Linked DNA regions of Xenopus tropicalis. The protein of the gene in region 1 binds, or shares a complex with, the protein of each later gene. Links are inferred from orthologs where the notes say so. Each region holds a gene or a part of one and is shown on either strand. Other genes may lie near its edges.

Region 1 (7,395 bases):
AGAGCACAGAGATTTGGACATTTACCGTATTAACAGCCAGTCCCTTGTCAAACCCTGGCTGAAGAAACTTTAGCAGGAGAGGTACTGAAGCCTGGTTGTTGAAAACCTTTTTTCTTGTGCACCAGGATCTAAAAACTTTCCAGACTCTGGAATACTATTACTATGGAATAGCCCTTATTTGTAGAATCCCTTCTACACTGCAAAAGAATGTCAATGACTTCAAGAGAAATTTCTTGCAACTCTGATGAACTCTGATGAACCTATCAGATTCCAGGCAGTTAACCAAAGCCTGGCAAGATCCTGGCAAACAACCGACCCTTGTGTCAACAGACTCGGAATTTGAGGCAGGATCCAGAATTCCTTCCTGGCCATCTTCATCAGAAGAGAAAACCAAACTCTCCTTGGCCAAAAGGGGATTATTAAGATGGTCTTCATCTGCTCTTGCCTGATCTTCTAAATGACTCTGGGAATCATGGAGAATGGTGGGAAAATATACTGGGGAAAACCCTACCTGAATGGCATGGCATCTAGGAAATTCAGACAATTCCTGTCTGTTAGGGAACAAAATGTCTTTAACTTCTGGTTCTTCTGGTTGCCATAAAGTCTATAACTGGGAGTCCCCAGTGTCTCGTAATCTTTAGAAATATCTGTTGATCCAGAGACCACTCCCCTGGTCTGAATATAGTTCTGCTTAGATGATCTGCCAGAATGTTGTTCTTCCCCTTTATGTGTTCTTCCACTTGGATGTCCCAACATTACCTTAAATTAAACCTCTCTAAGACTGAATTGGTTCTCTTTCCCCCATCCAACGCCCACATTGTTCCTGAGGTATCTATACAGGTTAACAATTCTACCATCACCCTGTGATCCTGAAGCCACCAGTGCAGTGGCAACTACATGTACAATACAAACTATATTGATGTTTGGGGAAACTTTGTCACCCCAGCCTTTAGGCTAAGGACCGATGGAGTCAGTTAGTTGCCCGCAATAGATTGCTGTGACCGTGGGCGACTAACTGCTATGAAATGCCTTTCCACCGGCAAAAATATGACTCACCGGTGGAAAGGCTGAGGCATTGCTTCAGCTTTCTGAAGTTACACAAAGGTTCTCCTGCAGGCAAGGAGATGCCTGCAGTACCAGTGATCTATTGTGTGCTAATAACTCGCTATGTGGGTCTTAGCGTGATGACACATAAGAGCCTACTAGTAGCAGCTACTTTTTTACGGCACTAAACACCTGAAAATACCCTGCCATAGACAATACTGAGAATTGCCTCTGTTAAAACACACATAGAGACAATTATCAGTAAATAATCAGCAGAGTCTATTTTAGTAGCTGCCATAAGAAGCTGGTGCTAGTAGCTGCCTTTTGACCACCGATTGTCCCTGAGAATTCTGTTACAGCAGCACATGTACTATAAACGCATTCAGAAAAACCAACAGGATCTCTGTAATCCCATCTTTGCAGTTGTTAAACCACACAAGTAAGAATGTCTGACCAAGGTATGATTTCCACAGTATAACAAGATCAGCATTTGTGTGTTAATCTGCTGGAAATGTAAAAGGACCACCCCTTTAATAACATGCACGACAGCTCACGCATTTATGGGTATGATTAGACAGAATGAAATCAGTTAACTGCAAGCACATCTGTAGCTCAAAAGGTCCCACAGGCACTCTATGCATTCCGCTGCCTGGGAACACAGGAGTTAAGGGGGTTGTTAACCTTTAAGTTAACTTTTAGTATGTTACAAAATGGCCAGTTCTTAGCAGCTTTTCGATTGGTCTTCGTTGTTTATCATTTTTTAAATTGTTTTCCGCTTCTCTTTCCAGCTTTCAAATGGGGACGCTGACCCCAACTATTGCTCCTTGAGGCTACAATTGTAGTTGTTGTTACATTTTATTACTTATCTTTATATTCAGACCCACTCCTATTCATATTCCAGTCTCTCATTTGAACCACTGCCTGGTTGCTAGGGTAATGTGGACCCAAGCAAACCATATAGCTGCTAAAATTCCAAACTCGAGACTGAATATAATGCCAAATAATTCAAAAACCACACATAAAAAAATAAAGACCAATTGCAAATTGTCTCTGAATAGCATTCTGTACAACATACTAAGTTAATATAAAAGGTGAACAACCCCTGCACATTTTATATGCAGGTTGTACTTACAGGGCTGCTCTGAGCCACTAAATGCAGTTGAGTCTCACCTGCGTTTGATGGTTAACTGAACCCATTACTGGAATGCTTGTGTGTAAGGGCCCAAGCACATGAAAAACAGGCAACAGGCTCTTGAATTGTAGTGAGGGAGGGGGTAGAACACTAATCACAGATTGGTTGTTATGCCTTACAGCCCAGGTACTTATGTACGCGGGATAGTAAGGGAGGCTCATTTATCAACACTAGGTAAATTTGTACGTGGGCAGTATCCCATGTCAACCAATTGCATATTTGCTTTTCATTGTTTAATTTGTGATTGGTTTCTACTGGATATTGCACAGCGTTTTTAAATGTGCTCCAGTGTTTTGGGACAGAAGAACTGGGGTATAATAAATCTTAGCCCCCACTAGGAAAGGCCCAAAGCATTCTGGAATATCTAGTCGTCCAGTCAAATATATGTACAAACTGGCCTTATACACAAACATGGCAATTCTTATCAATGGATGACCCTGTTTCAACTGTAGCCCACTCAGTAACAATTGGATCACATGATTAGTTGATTGGCTGAATATCTGTAGAAGCAATTTATGGGCAGGGACTAGGCCACTTAGCAAACCAATGTATGTTTTATACATAAAATGGCCATCCCCCAAAATGTGGAAACAGGGTAGGCAGCATGTTATCACTCATCACTAGTCAGTGTCTGCCTGGAGAATCCGGGCCCATGATTTATTCAAACTTTACCTGTATTTCCCAATAAAACAGCATGGCCAGCATGTGCTGGCTGAAAAACACTGGTGGAGAACACAACCTATGTTCCATGGAAATAACAGATTATTTACAGCGCTGCGGAATATGTTGGTGCTTTATAAATAAATGTTAATAATAATTTAAAATGGCAAGAAAGAAAGCCATAAAATAATAGGAGAACATAAAACTTTATTTACATTCCCTATCAAGTACATAGGTACAGCAGCACAGAAAGCTGTTCGGAAAACTTTCGATTCACTGACCAGTGTGTATCAGCATGGTAGCAAGAGTTTTAGATTAAGTATCACAGTTAAAAGTTTTGTTTCACGAATGCCACGCTTCTGAATATCATTATGCTAACAAAAGTATGCAGCTAGTCCTTATTCCCCATACTATACAGGCTTACTTACAAAGGAATTAAAAAAAATATATATATATTTTTAAAAAAAGTCTTTTTTTTCCTCCCAATAAATAATAAAGAATGTCTTTAAAAGACTCTGTCAAATTCTGATTGGTTTGTGGCAGCAGGATTCCGTGCCTGATTGGCTGGCTGTTGGGGCATGTGCCCGCCTCTTCTCCTAGGAGGTGCCAAGTATTCAAACATGGACTGATTGTGAGTAGAGAGCATGTTCTTCAGATCAGAAGGCATCGGGTCAGACCAGAAGAAATCATGATTCAGGGCGTCATCACTGTCGATTCTCTGAGCCGGGTCCAAAACCAACAGCTTGTCTATAAGGTCCAGTGCATAGAGATCTTTCACATAAGCCTTTAACCTTTCCTTCACCTTTCTTTTCTGGCCTTTGGGCAGTTCCAGCTTCTGGTACAACTCATATTTGTCCACATTTGGCCAGACCTAAAATATATTAATAAAATAAACTATCCGGTTTAGGTGTTTAATTAGATTTACAGATATCTAAGGGTTCTGATCTCTTTCCTAAGCAGAGCAACATCAGAATACAACAGTTACAGGAACCAACCAGCAGGTGACAGCATTGTTAAAAAATTCATTATTGGCAGTTAAAAACTTTAAATACTTAAATAGCTCTGAAACTGAATAAAACATAATTAATGTAAATTGCTTTTTTTTAGTTTAGTTATCCCACGACCAATGAGACCACTTAGTCCTAGATATGATCCTGGACCAGAGCAATTCATTAAAACTCACCTCTGGTGTGATGGAACCGCATAATTGGCTGATGAGTGTTAGCTGATGCTGCTCCGTATTCCCCTGCATAATGGGGCTTCTGGTCCACATCTCAGCCATGATGCACCCTGCTCCCCACAAATCAATGGGAGGACCATAATCACGCTCTCCTACAAGCAGAAAATGGGAAAAATATTATCCACACTGTTTAAAGGGGTAGTTCATCTTTAAATTAACTTTTAATTTAATGCAGAGTGCTATTTTGAAACAATTTGCAAATTGACTTTTGTTTTTTCATTTGTGTTAGTTTTTTTTGTTCAGTTGCTCTTCAAGTTGGAATTTCAGCAGCTATTGGGTTGCTAGGACCCAATTTAACCTAGCAACCAGGCAAAGGTTTGAAAGAGACAGGAATATGAATAAAGGGGGTCCTAACTAGAAAGATAATAAAAAGTAACAACAATAATAAATTTGTTGCCTCAGAGAGCAATAGTTTTTTGGCTACTGGGGTCAGTGACCCCCATGTGAAAGCTGAGTCAGAAGGGGAAAGCAAAAACAATAAATAAAAAATGAAGACCTACTGAAAAGCTGCTATAAACATGCTAAAAGTTAAAGTCCCCTTTAAGATATACATTAGCTAACAGTATATCCTGCATCAGAGCTGGATCAATTGCAAAGACTATTATTATGGCTTCCATCAGACATGAATGTTATGACCCGACAGCTTCCCTTTTTGGGGGATTCAGACTTTATTAGTGCATATAACCACATGACCGTCCTTACCTAGGAGTAGCTCAGGGGGCCGATACCAGAGCGTAACCACGCGATTGGTGTACTTGTTTGGCTGGCTGTTCTTGGCAAGGCTGAATGCTCTGGCAAGCCCAAAGTCTGCAAGTTTCAACACTCCGTCCCTGGTGATCAGTACGTTTGCTGCCTTCATGTCTCTGTGCAGGATCTGTGGGCATGAGTCCATTAGACACAGGTCCTACAAGAACAGTAAATGCCCAGGATGGGAAGAGAATGGAGCACTTGCTCACCTTGTTCCGGTGAATGTAGTAGAGGCCGTTGAGCAGCATTTGCATTACCTTCTTGATCTCGGAGAGCGTGAACTTGACATGAGCATTGCTCAGCAAGCCTGCTAGATCATGCTCACAAAAGTCGAACACCAGGAAAATAGTTCCTTTGCATCTATTGTACTGGTTGGCTGTGGGAGAAACTAGGTGGGCAAGAGAGTCTAGAGCACGGCCCCACAAAAGCAGCATAAGCACAACAGTTGCACATTTACAAAGGGCAGACACCAAGCAGGACCAAATGTGTCCATCAGGGACCCTCATACCAAATGCAGGCACTGTGGCACAACTCTGGCTATGAGTTTATGCCTTAGCATTCTACATAGTTCCAAAAATAATTTGGTCTTGCTAGGTTCCACTTTTATACCCCACTCTCCCCTGCCAGGAACATATTTCTTTTAAAGGGCCATAGAGAGGTAACCAAATTTATTGAGCAAGAGTCTACCCCAAAACAATGCGATGCATATATATAGCAAAGCTCACTGCACTGCTATTTAGACTTATGGCAGCAGGGGTAGCAATAGAGTATGACTGATATACCAAAAGGGCGCAAAGTCAGCCCCTGACAAATAGAGTGATCTGCTTTAGCAAGGTTCCCTACACTCCCCTCCCAGTCAAATTGCTTATAAGCCAATACTGTCAAGTCCACTGGAAACCCTCCAACACCACCTAAACTGTGTTGAAGGACTGGGTCACTGGGTTTAAGGACTGGGTTGTTCTACACCTGGCAGAGGAGATGCTGCAGCTTCCATGCAATGTGTATGGCATTGGCTTGGTTTTCAATTGAAGCAGGATAAGAAAGACAGAGCCAGACAGAGATAGGGAGTCTAAGGGGCAGGACATTCACAACAACCATGCTGTGTGTGTCTTTGGCTGTAAAAGCCACCACCCAAGCTGCAACCCCCCAACACAGCACATGCAGCACAAAGTGAGAGAGACACAAAATGTTTCTTACTTTTTGTCCGACAGATCTCTATGAGGTTAACTACGTTCTCGTGTTTCAGCAGCTGCAGGATTTTTATCTCTCGCAGAGCCGTGATAGGAAACTGAGAAAAAGAACATGATTTCATTAGATAGATGTAGTTAGAGACACACATGTGCCATAATTAAATAATAAACTATATCCTTATAAATGGTGCTTAGTGATGCCATCAGCTATAATTGGCTTTTAGTGATGTTATACCCGTCACATTACTTGGGTATTATAATTAATGGACCTCCCTGTTGTAAAATATGAGAATATTAGACATTACCTTAGAGCAGGGATCCCCAACCTTTTATACCCATGAGCCACATTCAAATGGAAAAAGTGTTGGGGAGCAACACAAGCATGGAAAAAGGTCCTAGGGGTGCAAATAAGAGCTATAATTGGCTTTTTGGTAGCCCCTATGTGGACTGTGGCTTTACATTGGGTTTTTAAGCAACCAAAACTTGCCTCCAAGCCAGAAATTCAAAAATGAGCACCTACTTTGAGGCCACTGGGAGCAACATCCAAGGGGTTGGGGAGCAACATGTGGCTCATAAACAGCTGGTTGGGGATCACCGCCTTAGAGTTTCATGACCTGTATAAAATCACTGGGTCCTTTATATGGCCATGGAACTCCTCTGTGACTTAAAATATCCTTTTATTTTACTATGGGGGTGCATTATTCACTATAAAAATACTAAACAGAATGGTATAAAAGGGTCTTGTTACATGCAGACCACAGCATTAGTACCTACCCCTTCCTTCTCGTTTTCCATCAGAACTTTTTTAAGTGCCACTTTCTTCCCCGTCTGTCGATGTTTGGCCTTGAACACTTCCCTGTGGGTCCAACACATAGAAACAGATGAGTCAATGAGTTCCCAGCATAAAAAAAATAAATAAATGAACTTCCATGATTGGCAGCCATCCTTCCGATAGAAAGGAAAAGCCCTCAGTGACTGTATAATAGGGATTGTACCCTGCAGCTATACAACGACTTAGAACATTCATCTAGGGTACAGTAATAAAACTATACATACAGACTAGGAATAATGGCACATACAGCAAAATTATATTGATAGAAAAACTGTACAGGTATCGGACTCCTTATCCGGAAACCCATTATCCAGTAAGTTCCAAATTACGAAAAGGCCATCTGCCGTAGACTACATTTTAATCAAATAATAAACATTTTAAAATGATTTTCTTTTTCTCTCTAATAATAAAACAGTACCTTGTACTTGATCCCAAAGAAGATATAATTAATCCTTATTGGAGACAAAACAATCCTATTGTGTTTACTGTT
Region 2 (8,148 bases), on another chromosome or scaffold:
TGAGCAAACTTAGGGGGCTGTTCCTGCTGAATTGTGCTTAGTACAGGGGAATCCCTATGTGCATTAGTTTTATGGTATCTCTCTGTACAGGCTGTGAGCAAACTTAGGGGGCTGTTCCTGCTGAATTGTGCTTAGTACAGGGGAATCCCTATGTGCATTAGTTTTATGGTATCTCTCTGTACAGGCTGTGAGCAAACTTAGGGGGCTGTTCCTGCTGAATCGGGCTTGTGTCAGTACCTGGTCTTTTTGACACTAATATTGCTGCTCAATTTCTCCAGCCGGCACTCCCCGGTGTCGTGATTCACAATCAGGATACATTCCCTTAGGTACGGCCTTTTGGAGCCTTTGAACACAGTGACTGGGGTGGTGGAACCCTGAAAGGACAAATATAAAGTTATTTAGTGCCACGGCTGGCAGGGAACTCTGGGAGTTGTAGTTTCCAGTTGGTCACACTCACCTCAATGTTGGGCAGAGTGATGGTCACCTGTTCCCCTTTCCCCGCCTCCAGGTTCCCCTCACAGGAAGTATCAATGGACGCCGGCTTGAAATCATCTGCAAAGAATGTAGTGAATATACAGTATAGAGAGGGGTGCGCAGTGCAGCCCCCCAAGAGTGGAAATGGCAATAATACTAAATACTGTGTGAGGAGAGCAGTTACACTGGGGCACAGGGGGCAAATCTCTCCCACCCCCAGGGGGCAATAATCTATATATAGTGGTATCCAAGCCGGGCAATAAAAGCTGCTAAAGTGGAAAAATTGGATTTATTCTGGAAAACAGACAATCCATTATCATGTTGCCCCATTAACCCCCAAGCACCACGTATCCTATAATAATATCTAGTCACGTGGCAGCAGAGCCAGTCTGTCAGGCGTCTGATCCACGGAGCATTCCTACCCACCCAAACACACCCACGGCCTCTGGTACTGTGTGAGCCGCCTCCAGAACCTACAGACTGTCTGACCCACATGTATAAATACAAATATACAGAGAAGGAATGTTCTGGGCACACAATAAGCTGTACCCCCATACTGTACTGTCTAAGGGAAACACTATGGCACCTCCCTCCCATATGTATAAATACAAATATACAGAGAGGGAATGTTCTGGGCACACAATAAGCTGTACCCCCATACTGTACTGTCTAAGGGAAACACTATGGCACCCCCTACCCATATGTATAAATACAAATATACAGAGAGGGAATGTTCTGGGCACACAATAAGCTGTACCCCCATACTGTACTGTCTAAGGGAAACACTATGGCTCCCCTACCCATATGTATAAATACAAATATACAGAGAAGGAATGTTCTGGGCACACAATAAGCTGTACCCCCATACTGTACTGTCTAAGGGAAACACTATGGCACCCCCTACCCATATGTATAAATACAAATATACAGAGAAGGAATGTTCTGGGCACACAATAAGCTGTACCCCCATACTGTACTGTCTAAGGGAAACACTATGGCACCCCCTACCCATATGTATAAATACAAATATACAGAGAAGGAATGTTCTGGGCACACAATAAGCTGTACCCCCATACTGTACTGTCTAAGGGAAACACTATGGCACCTCCTACCCATATGTATAAATACAAATATACAGAGAGGGAATGTTCTGGGCACACAATAAGCTGTACCCCCATACTGTCTAAGGGAAACACTATGGCACCCCCTACCCATATGTATAAATACAAATATACAGAGAGGGAATGTTCTGGGCACACAATAAGCTGTACCCCCATACTGTACTGTCTAAGGGAAACACTATGGCACCCCCTACCCATATGTATAAATACAAATATACAGGGAAGGAATGTTCTGGGCACACAATAAGCTGTACCCCCATACTGTACTGTCTAAGGGAAACACTATGGCACCCCCTACCCATATGTATAAATACAAATACACAGAGAAGGAATGTTCTGGGCACACAATAAGCTGTACCCCCATACTGTACTGTCTAAGGGAAACACTATGGCACCCCCTACCCATATGTATAAATACAAATATACAGAGAAGGAATGTTCTGGGCACACAATAAGCTGTACCCCCATACTGTACTGTCTAAGGGAAACACTATGGCACCCCCTACCCATATGTATAAATACAAATATACAGAGAAGGAATGCTCTGGGTGACTGATAGGACACAGGTAGGAAGGGAAGGAACAGCTGCTAGACGCGACTCCGCACACCTGACAGCAGAGCCACAGGACAAACCTCACAGCTCGGTGTCACGGCTCGAGCCCATATTTAGTAAATCCCCTCTCACTATGAATACGGCTATTTTGGGTAGCGCCAGGCTGCACACTCATTTCAATTTGGCGCCCCGGGCACCTCAAACCCACAGCTGTTTCCTTGGGGTCAACGAAGCGTTGAAAGCTCGAGGGCGGTGAAACCAGGGTTACAGGCAGCTACGTGCAGCCCAGGGGCCACTTCCCATCAGAAAAGCAGAGGGTGGGACACGGCCCTTGAATGACTCTGTTAGAGGATTGTGGGAGTTGTAGTTCATTATTAGATAGGGAAACAGGATAGGGAATGGCACTTATGGGGGCAGGGCAGGATACAAATAGGGTACAGGGGCATATGGCTCTGCCCACAAGTGAACAAGTTACTGCCCGGGGGCTGGAGTTGGGCACGGAACACTGATGGGGGGGGGGCATTGGTCTAGAGTTGGTGCCCCCCCAGGTTCCACCCTGTAACTGGGAACAAAAGGGGCCCATAGAGCCACACTAATAGGGATAACCCCAGCTGTCTCAGAGAGACAGACAAGAGACATGTGGGCACAGGGGCCACAGGGTAATACTAACAGGCAAGGAGAAAGGGGCCCCAGGGCCCAAGCTTAAAGTGTTATAGAGAAGGCACAGGGGCCACAGGGTAATACTAACAGGAAAGGGGCCCCGGGGCCCAAGCTTAAAGTGTTATAGAGAAGGCACAGGGGCCACAGGGTAATACTAACAGGAAAGGGGAAAGGGGCCCCGGGGCCCAAGCTTAGAGTGTTATAGAGAAGGCACAGGGGCCACAGGGTAATACTAACAGGAAAGGGGAAAGGGGCCCCGGGGCCCAAGCTTGAAGTGTTATAGAGAAGGCACAGGGGCCACAGGGTAATACTAACAGGCAAGGAGAAAGGGGCCCCAGGGCCCAAGCTTGAAGTGTTATAGAGAAGGCACAGGGGCCACAGGGTAATACTAACAGGAAAGGGGCCCCGGGGCCCAAGCTTAAAGTGTTATAGAGAAGGCACAGGGGCCACAGGGTAATACTAACAGGAAAGGGGAAAGGGGCCCCGGGGCCCAAGCTTAGAGTGTTATAGAGAAGGCACAGGGGCCACAGGGTAATACTAACAGGAAAGGGGAAAGGGGCCCCGGGGCCAAGCTTGAAGTGTATAGAGAAGGCACAGGGGCCACAGGGTAATACTAACAGGAAAGGGGAAAGGGGCCCCAGGGCCCAAGCTTGAAGTGTTATAGAGAAGGCACAGGGGCCACAGGGTAATACTAACAGGAAAGGGGCCCCAGGGCCCAAGCTTAGAGTGTTATAGAGAAGGCACAGGGGCCACAGGGTAATACTAACAGGAAAGGGGCCCCAGGGCCCAAGCTTAGAGTGTTATAGAGAAGGCACAGGGGCCACAGGGTAATACTAACAGGAAAGGGGCCCCAGGGCCCAAGCTTAGAGTGTTATAGAGAAGGCACAGGGGCCACAGGGTAATACTAACAGGAAAGGGGCCCCAGGGCCCAAGCTTAGAGTGTTATAGAGAAGGCACAGGGGCCACAGGGTAATACTAACAGGAAAGGGGCCCCAGGGCCCAAGCTTAGAGTGTTATAGAGAAGGCACAGGGGCCACAGGGTAATACTAACAGGAAAGGGGCCCCAGGGCCCAAGCTTACAGTGTTATAGAGAAGGCACAGGGGCCACAGGGTAATACTAACAGGAAAGGGGCCCCAGGGGCCACACTAAGAGGGTCAGAGAAGTGGCCCAAGGGCCCAGGAATAAAGGAAGAGAGAAGAGGATCCCAGGGGCCCTAGGGCCACAGTAAGAGTCAGACGAGAGACACTTTCCCAGGTATGAGGGAGAAGCAGGGGCCCCTCAGGGGACATTACTGACAGGGCCACTCACAGCGGATTGTGTGGTACCCGCTCCTGGGCTGCTTCTCGAAGCTCTCCCCCAGCACCAATGGCCTCTCCTTGGTATCAAACAGCGGGCAGGCAGCGCCATTCATCGTGCCGACCCCCGGGCACCTCCAACTCCCCAGCCTCTGCCCCGAACCAGCCTGGGGCTCCCAACTCAGCCTGCCAGCCGGGGGCGGAGCCAGCAACCGGAGCGCCTTCCTATTGGTTGTTGAGTGCTATACAGACGCTGATTGAGCGAACAGAGTTCAGATTAAGACTTTGCCCCTCCCCCCCGAGAGAGATACCGGCAATCAATGGTCAGTCCGCATGTAGGAAACTAAGTCCCGCCCACAAGTAATGACGCAGGAACTGAGTGGCGTCGGTGTACCCGGCAAGCATTGCGGTCCGGGCCTTGACTAGTGAGGAGCCTGATTGGAGTAGCGTAGGGTTGCTAGGCAACCCGCCCCGTTAGAGAGAAATGCTGAGCGAGCGGGCTGTGTGAGGCGCGGCACCGGAAGGTGATTCTTCATTGGGACTTTGTGTGTCTGTGGGAATGCGTCCCGTCCGGAAGCCTCGTAGTCTTAGACTTATCTACCTAGTTATATACCTACCTACCCACACTTACACACAGAGCTACCTACCTACTTATATACCTACCCACACACACACACACACACACACACACACACAGAGCTACCTACCTACCCACACACACACACAGAGCTACATACCTACCCACACACACAGGTACCTACACACACTGCCCCAGGCCCTGTATATTCTATTATAGATACTGACAAACTCATATGCCCCTCCCCATTCTCTGCACCTCAGTCTGGGCAGCCTATGGCCTCTCACTGCTGGGATTTGTAGTTCCACTAGAAGGGTCATAAGCCTCCTAAACCTCTATCAGAGCACAGACTCTTCCCTTTGGCCCCAAATCCTCTCCAGCACTGCCCCCCTCTCCGGCACTGCCCCCCCTCTCCGGCACTGCCCCCCCTCTCCGGCACTGCCCCCCCCTCTCCGGCACTGCCCCCCCCTCCGGCACTGCCCCCCCCCCTCTGGCACTGCCCCCCCCCTCTCCGGCACTGCCCCCCCCCTCTCCGGCACTGCCCCCCCCCTCTCCGGCACTGCCCCCCCCCTCTCCGGCACTGCCCCCCCCCCCTCTCCGGCACTGCCCCCCCCCTCTCCGGCAACTGCCCCCCCCTCTCCCAATCTCCATTCTGTTCCTGTCCCTTCTTTTGACTCCGACCCCTTGTCTGTTTCTACCTGCCCCCCATTCCCCTGTCTGTTTCTACCTGCCCCCCATTCCCCTGTCTGTTTCTACCTGCCCCCCATTCCCCTGTCTGTTTTCTACCTGCCCCCCATTCCCCTGTCTGTTTCTACCTGCCCCCCATTCCCCTGTCTGTTTCTACCTGCCCCCCATTCCCCTGTCTGTTTCTACCTGCCCCCCTTCCCTTGTCTGTTTCTACCTGCCCCCCCATTTCCCCTGTCTGTTTCTACCTGCCCCCATTCCCCCTGTCTGTTTCTACCTGCCCCCCATTCCCCTGTCTGTTTCTACCTGCCCCCCATTCCCTTGTCTGTTTCTACCTGCCCCCCATTCCCCTGTCTGTTTCTACCTGCCCCCCCATTCCCCTTGTCTGTTTCTACCTGCCCCCCATTCCCCTGTCTGTTTCTACTGCCCCCCCATTCCTGTCTGTTTCTACCTGCCCCCCATTCCCCTGTCTGTTTCTACCTGCCCCCATTCCCTGTCTGTTTCTACCTGCCCCCCATTCCCCTGTCTGTTTCTACCTGCCCCCCATTCCCTTGTTTTCTACCTGCCCCATTCCCTTGTCTGTTTCTACCTGCCCCCCATTCCCCTGTCTGTTTCTACCTGCCCCCCCCATTCCCCTGTCTGTTTCTACCTGCCCCCCATTCCCTTGTCTGTTTCTACCTGCCCCCCATTCCCTTGTCTGTTTCTACCTGCCCCCATTCCCCTGTCTGTTTCTACCTGCCCCCCATTCCCCTGTCTGTTTCTACCTGCCCCCCATTCCCTTGTCTGTTTCTACCTGCCCCCCCATTCCCCTGTCTGTTTCTACCTGCCCCCCATTCCCCATGTCTGTTTCTACCCTGCCCCCCATTCCCTGTCTGTTTCTACCTGCCCCCCATTCCCTTGTCTGTTTCTACTGCCCCCCATCCCCTGTTTCTACCTGCCCCCCCATTCCCCTGTCTGTTTCTACCTGCCCCCCATTCCCCTTGTCCTGCTTTTCTACCTGCCCCCCATTCCCCTGTCTGTTTCTACCTGCCCCCCATTCCCCTGTCTGTTTCTACCTGCCCCCCATTCCCTTGTCTGTTTCTACCTGCCCCCCATTCCCCTGTCTGTTCTACCTGCCCCATTCCCTTGTCTGTTTCTACCTGCCCCCATTCCCCTGTCTGTTTCTACCTGCCCCCCATTCCCTTGTCTGTTTCTACCTGCCCCCCATTCCCCTGTCTGTTTCTACCTGCCCCCCATTCCCCTGGTCTGTTTCTACCTGCCCCCCATTCCCCTGTCTGTTTCTACCTGCCCCCCATTCCCCTGTCTGTTTCTACCTGCCCCCCATTCCCCTGTCTGTTTCTACCTGCCCCCCATTCCCTGTCTGTTTCTACCTGCCCCCCCATTCCCCTGTCTGTTTCTACCTGCCCCCCCATTCCCTTGTCTGTTTCTACCTGCCCCCCATTCCCTGTCTGTTTCTACCTGCCCCCCATTCCCTTGTCTGTTTCTACCTTGCCCCCCATTCCCTTGGTCTGTTTCTACTGCCCCCCATTCCTTTGTCTTTTCTACATCCTTTTGGCCCCCATTCCCTGTCTGTTTTCTAACCTGCCCCCCATTCCCCTGTCTGTTTCTACCTGCCCCCCCATTCCCCTGTCTGTTTTCTACCTGCCCCCCATTCCCTTGTCTGTTTCTACCTGCCCCCTTCCCGTCTGTTTCTACCTGCCCCCCATCCCCTGTCTGTTTCTACCTGCCCCCCCATTCCCCTGTCTGTTTCTACCTGCCCCCCATTCCCTTGTCTGTTTCTACCTGCCCCCATTCCCCTGTCTGTTTCTACCTGCCCCCCATTCCCTGTCTGTTTCTACCTGCCCCCATTCCCCTGTCTGTTTCTACCTGCCCCCCATTCCCCTGTCTGTTTCTACCTGCCCCCATTCCCCTGTCTGTTTCTACCTGCCCCCCATTCCCCTGTCTGTTTCTACCTGCCCCCATTCCCCTGTCTGTTTCTACCTGCCCCCCCATTCCCCTGTCTGTTTCTACCTGCCCCCCATTCCCCTGTCTGTTTCTACCTGCCCCCCATTCCCTGTCTGTTTCTACCTGCCCCCCATTCCCTGTCTGTTTCTACCTGCCCCCTTCCCCTGTCTGTTTCTACCTGCCCCCCTGTTTCTACCTGCCCCCCATTCCCCGTCTGTTTCTACCTGCCCCCCATTCCCTTGTCTGTTTCTACCTGCTGCCCCCATTCCCCTGTCTGTTTCTACCTGCCCCCCATTCCCTGTCTGTTTCTACCTGTCCCCTGTCTGTTTCTACCTGCCCCCCATTCCCTTGTCTGTTTCTACCTGCCCCCCATTCCCCTGTCTGTTTCTACCCTGCCCCGCCCATTCCCCTGTCTGTTTCTACCTGCCCCCTTCCCTGTCTTTCCGGCCCCATTCCCTTGTCTGTTTCTCACCTGCCCCCCCCATTCCCCGTGTGTTTCTACCTGCCCCCCACTTCCCTGTATGTTTCCTACCTGCCCCCCATTCCCTTGTCTGTTGTTACCTGCCGCCCCCATTCCCTTGTTCTGTTTTCTACCTGCACCCCCCGATTCCCTGTCTGTTTCCTCCTGCCCCCGTCTGTTCTCCAACCCCGTTCCGTTACCCCCATACTCTCTCTCCTGTGTCTCACACTCATGTCTCCTTCTCTGTACAGAATCCTCTGCCCAGTGGGACCCACACAGGAGCGGGAAGCTGCCCACCGAAACCCTGAGCCAATGCTGCAGCTGCACGGTAAGTCTGGGTCCTGTAGGTGGCATTGCCAGCACCGGCCTATTGTGTGTG
Region 3 (7,647 bases), on another chromosome or scaffold:
AATTACACAAAATACTGTTATGTGCCTCAACTGAATTAAACTAAATTTATTCTACAGAAAAAAGTTCTAATTAAGGCCTTTGTCTTCTGTACAATCAGGGTTCAACACCTCCCATGACGGTATTTAAAGGAAACAAACGGCCTTACCAAAAGGATTGTGTGCTGATCATTAACCACGACACAGGGGAATATGTGCTGGAAAAACTGAGCAGCAGCATTCAAGTAAAGAAAACCAGGTATAGCTAATTTAAGGCACTCACCAGAATTATTCTGAGGCATTATTGTTTTCAGCTCTGGTAGTGTAGCATAAAAGAAAAACCACCAAAGGTTTTCTTTGATTGCAGTATTTAAATTAGTAAAGTGTTAAGTTAATGACCACCAAACAGAAAGCAAAGTTAATATGGGTATAGCTTAAGAGACAGCAGGGCTATTTAAGGGATGGGATCTGTTCTGCAGAATGTTTGGACATAGGGTTTTACAGATATGGGGCTACTGTATTCCTCATAAATAGAAGCTATACTCAGTGTTTTCCCTGAATTCTAGTTTTTTACATTATACAAGTATGGGACCTTTTATCCAGAATTTTGAGCCTTCTGGATCAGCTAACTGATCCCATACCTACCCTAATGTGCACAGGATTTTTAACTCCTTAAAGGAGAACTAAAACCTAAAAAGGAATAGGGCTATAGTTTATATACTGAACCAAGTTAAGCTTAGGGGTTGTTGCAAATTATCAAGCAGAAAATTAGGTTTTCCTGTAATATTGTAAGGGCCTGCTCAGCTCTGGTGTGTGTAACTTTGCCAGGGGCTATTGGATGCATTGTATGCCCCTTATAGTACATCTACTGGACATGCATTAGAATCATACATGAAACAAGCTTTTGCTGAAAAGCATAAATAATTATAAAAAACAGGGGAGGCAGAAAGGGGACAAAGTAAGTGATAAGGGAAAAAGATCTGTTAAAAGAGTCCATTGAACTGTTTGGGACAGGACTGGGCTGGAAGAATGTCGGGCCCGCCATCAACCCACAACACTCCGGAGGGGCAGTTAGTTGAGCCAAACATGCCTGACTCTCGGGTTAATATAATGTTTAAATGTTGTGTTTTTTTGTTTTTTTTTGTATAAGGTATGATGATCCAGAGTACAGAAAGACTCATTATGTGGAAAACTCCAGGTCCCACATATTCCAGATAGTAGATACCATACCTGTACAGAAATAATTGTCACAAAATAGGATATGTATGCTATCCTTATTGGTAGGAAAATGGACACAAATGCTTTCTTTTACTTTTCAGAGCTGAGGGCAGCAGTAAGATCCAAGCTCGTATAGAACAGCAGTCTGCCCGTGCTTCACAACCAACATCTCAGTTTAAGGCACCTTCCAAAGTAGCTGCTGGGCCTAAAACATCTCCATTAAAAGATCATCCTTCTCCTGAACCACAGCTTGATGACATTAAAAGAGGTGAGTGGAACCACTAGTCTTGTCAATTTTACTTTGTCCCTGTACACATACCTGTCAATATTCTCAAACAAAAAGTTTAGACATTTTAGGCACACTGTGATTCACCCAAATCCATTCTAATGCCATGATAAATATGTTTAATAAACCACCCTTTGATAAATATTTTTCCACACATCTGTTGTGATTGTATACTTCACTTTAAGTAGGCATGCAGAAGGCACAAACTAGGGGAGAGGATATTGAGGAGAGATAGATTGTGTTTTATATTTATTAAGACTTCTCGCCAGAACTCCCGAATCAGGGGGCATTTGTGTACCTATTTTTTAACATAGCAGTTATACTGGAATACAATGCTATAGGGAAAAAATGAAGTTATGAAAAACATTTACTCTTATTTTCTTTTGGAATTATTAAAATCTAATGCAACATTAAAGGGTAAATAAACCTTAAAACAAAAGTTTCTAAACACTTTTGCAATTTACATTTTCGTTTCAGAGCTATTTAGGAAGTGACGTAAACTGAGAAAAAAAACTTCTGTTTTCCTTTTGAAGGTGTGTCTATTTGACTGTACAGTTACAGAAACTGTACGGTTACAAAATTCCTTTTATTGGGAGTTGAATACCTAAAATAGCTGTAAACTGGAAAAAATAAATTATATAAATTGCAAAAATAAAATGTAAAGTTTACTTAACCTTTAAGTTAATATCACACTATATAAGATACATATCCCTATTAGGGTTGTGGTAATGGGCCATGGGGTTCCATATCCCCAAAATAACCGGGCCTCCGGCCCTCTTTATCCCACCCCTGATCCTACTGATTCCTGCCCATACCATATGAAGCCCCAACCCTTTTGCAACCAACTGGGGACCTATGTGATTCCTGTTGGTCCCTCTGATGGTGGCTCTGGTCTCCTTTATGGCCAAGGAACACAGCTGAGATTATCTAGAATCACTCATTAATGTCTATAAGGTTTTCATTCGTCCAGGTCATGATATACAGGATCTAGGGAACAGCACCTGAACTTGTTGTGTAATCTATAAAGAGTTTCACCACCCAGCAGAGCAGCTTCTACATTTTAATTAAGTGGTAGAGATTTCCCTGGTATTTTTAACCCTTAAAGAGAAAATTATAGATTGCCTTTTTGACATCTGGTTGGGAAATTGTTCTTATGAGTAACACAGATTTTTGGATCCCATTAGTGGGCTCCCTCAGCCCCTCCCACCAGTATATAATGCATAATGTTTTTCCCTGATTTTACATTTTCTTGAATTTTAACTCAATTTTTTGTGGTCCCCTGAAAAATGTAAAACTGGAGTTCTACTGTAGGACTTACTGCTAGTATATCCATTTGTAGTAAGGAGTAATCTGATTAAATGGAACATCCAACATTCTTTTCCAAATGTGGTTTATACTTTGTTATTATTATAATTTCTTCCCTGACCCCAAAGCTGAAGACAGCCCATAGATCTCCATAGTTCGTATGCAGTGCTTGCCAACAAGCACAAACAACCTCTACATGGGATACCACATGGGCAATTTCCTCATGTAATACTATAGAAGATGAAAGAGCAAACAGAAGCCTTCTCCTCTCTCTAGGTGCTCATCTTTTCCCATTTGTTAAAGTTTCCCTGCCACTGGCATAACCAGAGGCTCTAAAAATCAGCTCTAAAAATCATGCAGTGGTTATGAGAAAATGTGGTGCATGAACTGTACTGAACATGAGCCTGTGCATCTTCCCATAGAACTGAGGGCAGAGGTAGAGATTATAGAGCAGATGAGCAGCAGCGGCAGCAGTTCTTCTGAATCTGGGAGCTCCTCTGGGAGTGACGATGACAGCTCTAGCAGCGCTGGAGAAGAAGAGACACAAGAATCTCCATCTCAACAGCTGCCACCTCAACAATATAACAGCAGGATACCTGTTTCTAATGGCAGCAGTAGGCCACAAGGAACAAATCAGCTAATGAACACACTCAGTGAGTATTACATGCTGAGTTCAGTTCATGTTGTATATGGTTGTGTTTCCAGGAAAACCTTTTCAAAATAACCTTTCAACCATAAAGATGTATGTTTCTATCATAAAGGTTTTGTAGTTAAATAGAATCATTCATCATTGACATTTTGCTCATTTTAAACAGTCCCAAGGGCACTCTTCCTCTCCTGTGAAAGAAGTGCTAAGAAAATACACATAGTATGCTGCTTCAGAGGGTTGCAAAACTCCTTTAATGCTGGTAAATGGAATACTGGACAAGTACTCATAGCAAATGTTTGACTATTAATTGTAGCTACAAGGTATCCGCAATAGAAGACAAAGATAATGTTACCTATACAAGAAGCAAGACCTATAACAAAGCCTTGTGCTCTGGGTTAGAGCTTTACTCCAACAGAAAAGTGCTTTGCCTCACTAACTCTGATGATGTTATCATTGTATCATGAACCTGAGGCCATCCTGGCATGTATTTATGAACACTACTTTGCAAAAAATACAATAGTGTAACAGCTAATTTTCTCTGATCTGTTTATTGTTATCATTTGCTAAAATAGAGATTAAAATGCATTAACTGACTTTTTATACCTGTTTTTTTCTTCTCCAGGAAATGACCTTCAGTTAAGTGAATCGGGAAGTGACAGTGACGACTAAAGGACATATCTCCATTCATTATGTATACATGTAATATTATGTATGTATATAAATGCACAAAAGCACCAAACAAGCCAGGGGCTAAAATGACACAGCGGCTGTGAAGTTTGGATAGGGTGTTACTAGGATGCTTGGAGATGCAGTTCATGGACTGGAGAGTGAGAGATTATTTGCTCCTTTTTCAAATTTTCTCATAATGCAGGACATATATGTATAGCTGTTACCTGCAAACTTAGATCTCCAAAGGGTTTAATTGTTACTTATTTGCAGTAGTAAGTAATCTGAGATTAGTATTGGCACTTTGGTACTGGCATCAGTGTGGTATGTGTGCCATTACCCATTGGGGTCATTTATGAAGTTTGCGCAGCACAGAATTATTCGCACAGTGAACATTTTTGCCACACCCATATTTATATTTATAAAGCTGGACAAGGCAGGTGCATTTAATGTGCAAACATAATTGCAAATTTTTATTCACAGTGCAAATGTCCTTTTAAAAGCTTTTTAAATATGGCATATTTGCAAATTGAGTATTTATGTGCACACTCTGCTTCCAAGTTACGCCACAACTTTGGTAGCGGAAGAAATATTTGCTAAACTGATTTCACAAATTGCGAATTTGTATTCCTAAAGTTAAAATCGGAGCTATATTTGAGCTCAATAAACACAAAAAAGGACATGCTCATACAAGCCACAATCTCATTTGTGAATGTTTGTGCACACAACGCATTTAACTGCAATTCGCAAAAAAAAAAAAAAGCCAGGCACAGCAGTGCAAAATTTTAGCATTTAGGGAAAAACATGCACAAAACAACCATTTGCAAAAATAAAAATGTGCTGCACAAATTTTATAAATGACCTCCAGTGACTTCTAGCCATCAGAGATATAAGTAGACCTCATGCTGGTTTTTCTCCCAATAATTTATTAATATTAGTGAATAGACATAGCCTGCAGTTACATTCTCATAGCATGCTGTAAGCATCAGAAATAGTGATGAAAAATGGCAGCTGAGAGTGTACTCTGATCTGTCCATGTCATGTACCAGCACAAAGGCACACAGTAATCACTGACTGGCATTAGTACAGTCAACTATCACCTTCAGCTACAGAACGATAACAAGGCAGACCTACAAATGTGGAACTACAGCTCCCAGGACTTCTAAATGGAGTTTAGCTGTGAAGTATAGAACTGTAGTTCATTTGAAGGATCACTGGTTACCTAGCAGATAAATTGCATAGATTTAGATTACAGCAATTATTGTGCTTCTCTTATGTATGCACACATATTTACATCCAAAAAGATACAGGGATGTAAATTAGCTCTCGATAATGTACCTAGTATGTATGAATGTAATAAGGACTTAGATTGTAAGCTCCACTGGTGCAGGAACTGTTGTGAATTATACATGTTCGCAATGTAAAGTGCTCTTTATGGTGTAGTTCACCATGTTTTTCCCAATGCAGTTTCTCAGCATAATTGTGCAAAATTGTATGCGTGTCCCTAGGTATACGCTTAGTGGCAGAGGTGTAAAACGTGCTGATGATGCAGAAGTTGTGCTCCGTATATTTGGGGCAACATGCAGGCAGGCACCCCTTAATTGCATGCTATTTAGGGTGTGCAATGCACAACAGTAACCCTGTACTTAAAGCCTGGGCAATGAGAAGTGTAAAGTACAGGGCTCCCATGCCAATGTGCCTTGTTCCTGGTTCACACTGCTGGGTTAAAGGTGAGCATTTGCGCTAGGCCAATTGTTTTCCATACAACATTTTAATTTGTGCATAATTGACTCTGATATTAGGGTCTTGCATTTCCTTCTTTTTGTTTCACTCATTTCACACATACCATCATTTTTATGAGTTAATTTCAAACCAAGGTGCCATCTGCCAGTAAGTCTGTATGTCCTTCCCTGTCTGTATGCTTTACCTCTGTTTTTTTCCCGCATTCCAGTAATTACATCACTGACACAGGCAGGTTAGTTTGTCTGTGTTTATTGAGTGAATGTAAATAGTTAAATCAGAGTGTAAGCTTCTGCTTGGGCAGGGAGTGATGTGAATCATTAACAATCTCTGCAGTGTAAAATATGATGCAATAACGTTACCCATTCCTTTTATCCTTTCCTCTGTTTTATTTCCTTGTTCCTCTTTTTTTTTTTTCCCCACCATGATATATTATTTTTAAGCTATGTTTTATCCCATGCTAGTGATAAGGGTCTTTTGGGATGATCTAGTCTGTAGGCCCACATGTTAAATTATGGGATCTCATATGAAATAAATCAGCTGATGAGCTATAACAAGGACAGTCCTTTTTTTCATTTTCTGTTTTGGTAGACTTTCTGTGATCCAGTCTCAAATCTGTCTACCAGAGTACCCACATGAGTTTGTGGCTAGAACCTTTTTTTTTATTGCAACACTTTGCCTTATATAATTGGAACTGCATTCCCTTTTGGCAAAGAAGTATGATTAGAAAATGTTGCAAACTGAAGGCAATTTCCCACTGATGTCTTGGCCAACTTGTAGCTTAACTCGTGTCCCAACATGTGTGTGTGTATCTCTGTACTGAAGTTATACTAATTTCATTATTTATGCTGGTTTTAAGAAGCTTACATTTTATTTGTGAGTTTGGCATAAGATTATATGCCTTCATGTATTTTGGTAATAATAATAATACATTTAATTATTGGCTAAAATTTTACATTCTTACATGAACATTTATATTTTATTTTATGTAAGGCTTTTGTATATATATTTTATCTTCAAAATAAAGTAATAGTGCATTTTGTATTTGCCTTTTCATTGTTTATTGAGACAGTATTCTAGTTCACATTTTCTATGTCGCTACCCTGCTCTAAACATAAAGTTTAATTCAGGGGTCCTCCAAACTTTTTAAGCAGTAGGCCAGTTCATGGTCCCTCAGACTGTTGGGGGGGGCGGAATAAATTCCTCCCCCCTGTGTCCTCATACTATGGCCCGCTCCCCGCTGCGTCCTCCTGCTCCCTCCGGTTCCCCACTGCATCCTCGCGTCAGATCATAGTGGGGGCCAGGTAAATTACCTTGGAGGGGGGCGTATTTGGGCCGCGGGCCGCATAGTTTGAGGATGCCTGCACCGCAAGAACCTGAAAACATAGATTTAATAAAGTATTGATCTTGTTTAATTTTTATAGGTTCCTGATGTGGAACCTGCTTTTTTGGATTTGTTTAAATACAGCCTAGAGGATTTTTTTGTTCGGGGAGGCTGCCAACAAATGGCTTTCCATGGCAGAGTATCTGTATACTTTTAAAAATCCAAAAAGTAGGAGAAAAAAGCTTCAGCAGATTTACTGCAAACCATTTATTGTGGGTAGTGGTAACACAACATGTTTCGAGTCAATACCCTTTATCAAGTGTAATGTTCACAATCATGTGAAAAATCTGATTGATTAGCCTGGGTAGAGTATAATGACACACATCTACATCAGTCCCAGCCCACGCAAAAATCGTAAAGACGCCGAAAAAATCGCAAAAAATACGAAAAAATCACAAAATTACCGATCATTACGAAAAAAAC
Region 4 (7,647 bases), on another chromosome or scaffold:
TCCCATACCTGTACTTTGAAAGTGATCATGACCGAGTTATGGATGAATTACTGTCTATATACTTTTTTTTCTCTCTAGAGAGATAAATTAAACAGGGGCCTATTTATAAACCCTTGTAAAGTTATTTACACATAAACTAATAGCTTATTTATAAAGCAGTGTATATCTTATGTGTGATTATATGCTGTGCATCACAGTTGGCTTCCACCAGCCGAATCTTAGCTTTAACCCATTTTAGCCTGTGGCAAAAATTCTGACATAAGATGTGTAATGCAGGAATGGAAAACCAAACACCATTTTTCAAACAGCATATTTAAAGCAGCTGCTGCTTTTTGTACCAGAATGGCACGCTGGACTTCACAGTTGCCAAAAATCAATACAGAATAGGGTTGGCTTTTATGTGGTGATGCTACTGTTTAGATGGCATTCTGGGTGATGATGTACTCTTTATAAATATGTCTCATAGAGTTGTCATGAGAATTTTCAGAATGCCTGGTGTGATTGTGAAGCTTAATATAGTTCAGCATAGATAAACAGTATTTAGTCATGGATTAGTTCAGTTATAGGTCTTTGGCAGAGGTCAACCTTGTAGTCAGGGTTATCTACAGTTGTTATTTGTGACATTAATTCTCTGCATACAGCGTCTTTGTTTTCCATTTTATATAATAAATTGACGTAAGCAATGGAGACAAAATAAGTATTAATCTCCCCATTTCTTACAGTAAGTCATAAAAATTTGTTGATTCTAGAATCTTCGGCTTCTGCTACAAAAAAGATAAAACAGTAATGTAGATGAAACTACAAGATTTTGTAGATAATGGATGATAAGTTTGCTCTGACTTCACCCTGAAATCGCCATACCTTAGGAAGGTTAAAATTTAAGAGGAGATCGCTATGTACAAGATGTAGGGTTGCATTTCTAAGCCTACTTACAGTTTTTACACTTTGCCCATATTCAATTAACCATTTCCTTAAATAAGTGTATTACCTGCAGCAGATGGTTTTGCGGTCTTATTACTTTTTCTGTATATGCTTTTGATACCCAATTTCTGCTTGATTATTGCAGAATTAACTCATGAATTTCTTCAGATCTTAGAGAAAACTCCTAATCGCCTGAAACGAATCAGAAATTGGAGGGTAAGTTTTTTGGGACAGTTCTCCAATCACAAGTGTGTCAAACCAATACACTATTAAACCCTTAAAGGGTAGACCGTTAGACCTTTTTGATAAAGCTTACTTAGTTTTTACCTTTCCTTCTCCTTTAAATTCAGTCCACGGATATTGTTTAAGGGTAGACGACATTTGCCATAAAAAGGGCCCTGTGCAGAAACCATGCCCTCTTACATCACAATCTCCTCTAATACTTCCTCTCTGAGCATCCTTTTTGTGCACTTGTCCAATTGAGGTTTGGCATGGTGCCAAGAGACTGGCGGATTGCTAATGTGGTGCCGTTATTTAAAAAGGGATCCCGTTCTCAGCCTGAAAACTATAGGCCTGTTAGTCTGACATCAGTAGTAGGAAAACTTTTGGAAGGGGTAATAAGGGATAGGGTACTTGAATACATTGCAGTTCACAATACTATTAGTTTGTGCCAGCATGGTTTTATGCGTAACAGATCTTGCCAGACTAATTTAGTCGCCTTTTATGAGGAGGTGAGCAGGAACCTCGATGCTGGAATGGCAGTTGATGTCATCTACTTGGACTTTGCTAAAGCGTTTGATACAGTACCTCACAGAAGGTTAATGATCAAATTAAGGAATATTGGCCTAGAACATAATATTTGTAATTGGATAGAGAACTGGCTGAAGGATAGAGTACAAAGAGTGGTGGTAAATGGAACATTTTCTAATTGGACCAGTGTGGTTAGTGGAGTACCGCAGGGGTCAGTCCTTGGGCCTTTGCTTTTTAACTTGTTTATTAATGACCTGGAGGTGGGCATAGACAGTACTGTTTCTATTTTTGCTGATGACACTAAATTGTGCAAAACTATAAGTTCCATGCAGGATGCTGCTGCTTTGCAGAGCGATTTGACAAAATTAGATAACTGGGCAGCAAACTGGAAAATGAGGTTCAATGTTGATAAGTGCAAAGTTATGCACTTTGGTAGAAATAATATAAATGCGAACTATCTACTGAATGGTAGTGTGTTGGGGGTTTCCTTAATGGAGAAGGATCTAGGGGTTTTTGTTGATAACAAGTTGTCTAATGCCAGGCAGTGTCATTCTGTGGCTACTAAAGCAAATAAAGTGCTGTCTTGTATAAAAAAGGGCATTGACTCAAGGGATGAGAACATAATTTTGCCCCTTTATAGGTCCCTGGTAAGGCCTCACCTTGAGTATGCAGTGCAGTTTTGGGCTCCAGTCCTTAAGAAGGATATTAATGAGCTGGAGAGAGTGCAGAGACGTGCAACTAAACTGGTTAAGGGGATGGAAGATTTTAACTATGAGGTGAGACTGTCAAGGTTGGGGTTGTTTTCTCTGGAAAAGAGGCACTTGCGAGGGGACATGATTACTCTGTACAAGTACATTAGAGGGGATTATAGGCAGTTGGGGGATGTTCTTTTTTCCCATAAAAACAATCAACGCACCAGAGGTCACCCCTTTAGATTAGAGGAAAGGAGCTTCCATTTGAAGCAGCGTAGGTGGTTTTTCACGGTGAGGGCAGTGAGGTTATGGAATGCCCTTCCTAGTGATGTAGTAATGGCAGATTCTGTTAATGCCTTTAAGAGGGGCCTGGATGAGTTCTTGATCAATCAGAATATCCAAGGCTATTGTGATACTAATATCTACAGTTAGTACTAGTGGTTGTATTTATAGTGTATGTATGTGAGTGTATAGATTGGTAGGTGTGGGTTAAGTGTGCTGGGTTTACTTGGATGGGTTGAACTTGATGGACACTGGTCTTTTTTCAACTCTATGTAACTATGTAACTATGTAATGTCAGGTTGACCGGGTTTTCATCCTATTCAGACTCTCCTCTCCTTTAGACATTCTACAGACCTCTGTTTTATATGATAATAGTAAGGTTCCATCTAATTGTTTTCAGACTAGTGAATACGAGGACCCATACTACAAAACCTACTAGATCAGCAGTAGGTTGAATTAAACTGCCCACATGGGTCTGTTCAATAGATGAGATTGCTAAATGAGCAGACCTTGACTTGATGGGACCACCCAGGTCAAAGGCAAAACTGATCTATAATATGGCCAAAAAGCTTGCTATTCTGTTCCAAATCATCAATTGACTAAGATGTAAATCATGAAAACTTTTTCAGTATGGTAATATGTCACAATGAGTCTCCTTTATACTTTTGATCTCTTTATTATCCAGTTGCATTAAATGACCCATACATTTCATAATACACTATAAAGGGGTTCTGTAGTTAAAACTGGCATATGCCAGATGTGCAAAATTATTTTGCCGAGTTTATCCCATTGACTTCAATGAGTTACACCAGGTCTGGGATGACGTTTTATAAATATGATTTGATGATTATGAGTTATCCAGTATTCTAGCTGAAAGGCACATGAAATAGTGCCCTGAGGTCAACTGGGAAGCACAGGACAGCACCAGAAGCAGTAGAAATGCAGTAAAGATTTCCAGAGTAAATTCATCTTTAAAGGAGAAGGAAAGGCTAAGTCACTGGAAGGTGCCAGAATGTTAGGCACCCCCAGTGACTTAAAGGAACAGTAACACCAAAAAATGAAAGTGTATAAAAGTAACTAAAATATAATGTGCGGCTGCCCTGCACTGGTAAAAGTTGTGCGTATACTTCAAAAAGTCTACTATAATTTATATAAATAAGCTGCTATGTAGCCATGGAGGCAGCCATTCAAAGGAGAAAAGGCACAGGCACATAGCAGATAACAGATAAAACACTATTGTATTCTACAGAACTTATCTGTTATCTGCTGTGTAACCTGTGCCTTTTCTCCTTTTTTCCAGCTTGAATGGCTGCCCCCGTGGCTACACAGCAGCTTATTATATAAATTATAGTAGTGTTACTGTAGCAAACACACCAGTTTTACCAGTGCAGGGCAACAGTGCATTATATATTTATTACTTTAAAGCTCTTTAATTTTTTAGTGTTACTGTTCCTTTAATCGCTTTCCTTTTACCCCAGGCTGGTGCTCCTGTGAGAAGACCTCCGCACCAGCCCGGGGTACCTATGAGCGAGTGTTTCCTCGTCCTTCTGTTTTTGCGCACTTGCGCAGTAGAGTGAAAAGCCGAACTTAAACAAACTGCAGGTACTCCGGGCTGATGCGGTTTTCTCCTAACAGGAACACCAGCCCAGGGTAAAATGTAAGCGATTAAAGTCACTACCTTTCCTTCTCCTTTCAGAGCTATGACAAAGATTTTTAAACATGCCAACTATTTTTCCTCCAAATGTTACTCCAGTTCTTAAACATAAAAGATTTTACATTGCTTTATAAATACAGCCCTAACCTCTTTTCTTTTGAAAAAAACACATACACCTCTTTCTTTTGTTTGTTAATATTGAAAACATGTTTCTTCTTAAAGAAAGCATTAAGAGCATTATCTAACATTTGAATTTATTTGGCTTTTTTATTTTTTACTAAGCCGTTTTTTAGTTTATGGCAGGAGATGTTAAATAGCACTTTTGTATTTGCAGATTAGTCAGGCTAACCAAACCAGGAAACCTAAAGACGATGAATGTCAAGAAGAGTCTGAGGATAATAGCTTTTCTGAAGAGACAATTCTTCGAATGTTCTCTCATAGTGGAATGTTAAATACTGATTCCCTTTCTGATTCATCATCTCAGCCACTTTCGGTTACAAAAAATGATGGGGGAATGTCGGAAGGGCAGTGGGGGTGTCAGCTACAGAGCCAGCGGGATCAGCATAGAACTGGCGAGCTTATAACATCTGCAGAACAGTCACAAACACTCGGTTCCAAACCAGTGGCACTTGCTAAAATGTCTCTGAAGGAGTACCGAGCAAAGCATGCAGAGGAATTGGCAGCACAAAAACGCCAGCTGGAGCAATTGGGTGCCAGCCTAAAAGAGCAATACGCTTCTGCTGCTCAGAACCTGTTAATACAGCAGCAGAAAGAACGTGAAAAAGAGGCCCATGCCTCTCCTATTATCCTTAAGATTCCATTGCATGAAGTAAGCCACAAACGCTCTGAGAAATCTTCCAGCCTCAAGCTTCGGCTCCCTGTTACTAACCGGGAGAAATCGGAGGAGGGAAAAATACGGATTAAGTTGCCAAATGAGGACAGCAGCAAGAGTAGAGATAAGCACAGAAGTAGTACATCTTCACATCACCATCACAATAACCAGTCACATCGTCAACACCACCAAGATCCATCTGGAAATAACAGCAGCAAACGTTCTTTACCTCCCCCGGTATTTTCGACACACAAATCATCATCAAATTCCCGAAAACGTACTACCACAGAGGAAACCGCAGGACACGATCCCCCTTCTCACAAAGTCAGCAGGACCTCCAAAGCTTCCACACAGGAACCTGCTGTTCCACACTCATTAAACAGAGTGAGAGGTAAACCAGAAAGGGAATCTTCGGGAACCAATGGTCACAGCGTCAATAAAGTAATTGATTATCAGGACACAGTGAACATGTTACATTCACTTCTTAGTGCACAGGGAGTACAACCCATGCAGCCCCCTCAGTATTTAAATCCATTTGGGGATTTTCGCAGGACACGGCCTGGTAACACTGATGATTCCAGAGCTCCCCCACTTCCTGCTGAGCCACCCCCCCCTCTTCCGCCACTGCCAAAGTGATATAAGTTTTAAACCTATTGTTTTAATGTCTAGAAAGGTGAATTAATTTCCCTGCATTGTCTGAACTATCCTAACCAGCACGCTCTCTTTCTTTTGCTCTTCCATTTTTTATACCAAACTATTCCTTGTGGTTTTGTTCCTTCCTAAACAGTCTTACCCTATTGTGTTTCCCTAATTTTTTGCATGTCTTAAATGAAATGATGTCACTTTCTAGGACTTCAATCACTCACTTCTCTGTCATGTTATATTTTGTTTGTGTTGGTGTTATTTCTATCAAACGGGTCATAGTTTTAAAAATGTACTATAAGAAAGCAATTGAGAAATGTTACAAAAGTGTTGATACTAAGCTTTTTGCAAGCTGAAAGTTACAGGTACATTATATTTATAGTGTTATCTGACTATTTTTATTATGCTTTATTCTTCCTTTTAACTGTCAGTATCAAACTTTCATCTCATTTATCTATGAATGGAGATTGTTTGTTTTTTCCTCTGGTGGAAGTCTTATTTATAGCTAATTTTAGGCTAGGGCAACAAGGTTGCAGTGTAGTCGCTGACCCAAGTATGTTGGTCAGCCAGGGTGTCCAACTGTAACTGTGCTGTGTTTGGTAGGCATCCCTGGATATTAGCACTCAAAGGCAGCTAAATGAGAGCCTCTCAGAAAACTCTGCCTGCAGTATTCCATGGCAAGTATGTCAGCTGACATCCACAGACATCCTACCATAGAGGAACCTATAGAGCTCTCCTAAAGAAAGTCTTGGCCCAGGCCTTACTTTGCCAGTCAGTTTGATAATCATTTGTATAATTGTTTGATTAAATCACAATTTAAAGGAGAAGGAAAGGCATTTTAATGCCGATAGATTAGCCACATCAGTGCCACCTAGAAAGCTATATTTATTCTGCAAAAACCTTTACCATACCTGAGTAAACAGCCCTAGAATCTCCATCTGTTTGCTTAAGACAGCAGCTGCCAGTCTCAGGAAGTGTTGCAGCTTTAGCAGTTGGTAGCTCACAGATCTCACATTCTCATGAGAAGGGGAGTGAATTCTTTTGGGAGGTGGAGTAGGAGAAGGGAGAGAGGAGAGAGCTGCCTGCTTATGGTTGTATTTACATAGACCTTTCTGATAAAGCTTACTTAGTTATTACCTTTCCTTCTCCTTTAAATAAGCTTTTTATCCCAATTACTTAGATGCTTACGATATATTGCCCACTTACACCACAGTTTTTTTATAGAATTTTTTTAAAGCAATGTTAAATGGGAAATAGCACTGGAAATTGTTAGTCAAATACATTATTTCCTCCTTTAATGCCCTGGGCACATGTAGAGTTTATGTTGTTCCTTTGCTTAGTGTTTCATAGGTGAATTTTGTCACTGCTAGTCTGGTGAGTAGCATTCATTAACCTGCATTCACTTGCCTGCTGGTAAAAATGGTTATGACCAAATGGCTGTTACCATTTGCTTGTGTGACTGTCTACAAAGGGTTTATAGTCTGCAGAGCAGATATATGTGCATGTAACTTCCTATGAAGTGGCAATTCTTGTTGATAGTAGGAATCAAGAACGGCTCACAAGCCATTTTCAGAGACACTCACCTATGTGCCTTACTGTTTGGGCTATATGTACATTCTGGTTTAATTGTCTTCTAAAGTGTAAGAGCAACTCTCAAGTTACATTATTTAACATTGGCTGCTTACACTACTGCAATAGTGAGGAATATTTCTTACATTTTTGTGATCATAAACAGCACATACCATTTGTAATATCTAAGTTTTGGTGATCTGAATGCTGTGTGTATAATATTGTTTCTGTGTAATTTTTCATCCAGCCCTTTGAGCAGTGAATTGTTATTCAGATACCTGAAAAATGCCTAAAGGGAGGCATTT

The links.
Region 2: cdk9 (region 1) and eaf2 share a complex: the UniProt entries of both Homo sapiens proteins name them as parts of the super elongation complex. The link is inferred for Xenopus tropicalis from reciprocal best matches to the Homo sapiens genes CDK9 and EAF2.
Region 3: cdk9 (region 1) and eaf1 share a complex: the UniProt entries of both Homo sapiens proteins name them as parts of the super elongation complex. The link is inferred for Xenopus tropicalis from reciprocal best matches to the Homo sapiens genes CDK9 and EAF1.
Region 4: the proteins of cdk9 (region 1) and ccnt1 are in contact, whole or in part, in a crystal structure (PDB 3BLH), measured with the Homo sapiens proteins. The link is inferred for Xenopus tropicalis from reciprocal best matches to the Homo sapiens genes CDK9 and CCNT1. Residues at the interface, in NP_001252.1 of Homo sapiens: Val8, Glu9, Cys10, Pro11, Phe12, Cys13, Lys56, Glu57, Gly58, Phe59, Ile61, Leu64, Ile67, Lys68, Gln71, Leu72, Leu81, Ile82, Glu83, Ile84, Arg86, Ile99; in NP_001231.2 of Homo sapiens: Arg5, Lys6, Arg11, Trp12, Arg26, Ile72, Gln73, Phe78, Phe89, Leu90, Lys93, Val94, Pro98, Lys99, Lys100, Leu101, Val134, Glu137, Ile139, Leu141, Gln142, Thr143, Gly145, Phe146, Glu147, Leu148, Thr149.

The regions. Positions count from the first base shown.
Region 1 is NC_030684.2:24,556,687-24,564,081, forward strand, and holds the end of cdk9 (cyclin-dependent kinase 9), read right to left. Parts: intron 6,930-7,395; coding exon 6,848-6,929; intron 6,172-6,847; coding exon 6,081-6,171; intron 5,290-6,080; coding exon of another isoform or gene 5,272-5,289; coding exon 5,093-5,271; intron 5,011-5,092; coding exon 4,839-5,010; intron 4,229-4,838; coding exon 4,080-4,228; intron 3,768-4,079; coding exon 3,402-3,767; 3' UTR 3,086-3,401; downstream 1-3,085. UniProt on the Homo sapiens protein: Protein kinase involved in the regulation of transcription.
Region 2 is NC_030685.2:88,577,022-88,585,169, reverse strand, and holds the start of eaf2 (ELL-associated factor 2), read right to left. Parts: upstream 4,330-8,148; 5' UTR 4,221-4,329; coding exon 4,118-4,220; intron 553-4,117; coding exon 458-552; intron 375-457; coding exon 238-374; intron 1-237. UniProt on the Homo sapiens protein: Acts as a transcriptional transactivator of TCEA1 elongation activity. Acts as a transcriptional transactivator of ELL and ELL2 elongation activities. Potent inducer of apoptosis in prostatic and non-prostatic cell lines.
Region 3 is NC_030682.2:51,491,486-51,499,132, reverse strand, and holds the end of eaf1 (ELL-associated factor 1), read left to right. Parts: intron 1-98; coding exon 99-235; intron 236-1,295; coding exon 1,296-1,462; intron 1,463-3,207; coding exon 3,208-3,438; coding exon of another isoform or gene 3,439-3,509; exon of another isoform or gene 3,510-4,014; intron 4,015-4,056; coding exon 4,057-4,103; 3' UTR 4,104-6,882; downstream 6,883-7,647. UniProt on the Homo sapiens protein: Acts as a transcriptional transactivator of ELL and ELL2 elongation activities.
Region 4 is NC_030678.2:135,678,388-135,686,034, reverse strand, and holds part of ccnt1 (cyclin-T1), read left to right. Parts: intron 1-1,066; coding exon 1,067-1,137; intron 1,138-4,633; coding exon 4,634-5,767; 3' UTR 5,768-7,647. UniProt on the Homo sapiens protein: Regulatory subunit of the cyclin-dependent kinase pair (CDK9/cyclin-T1) complex, also called positive transcription elongation factor B (P-TEFb), which facilitates the transition from abortive to productive elongation by phosphorylating the CTD (C-terminal domain) of the large subunit of RNA polymerase II (RNA Pol II).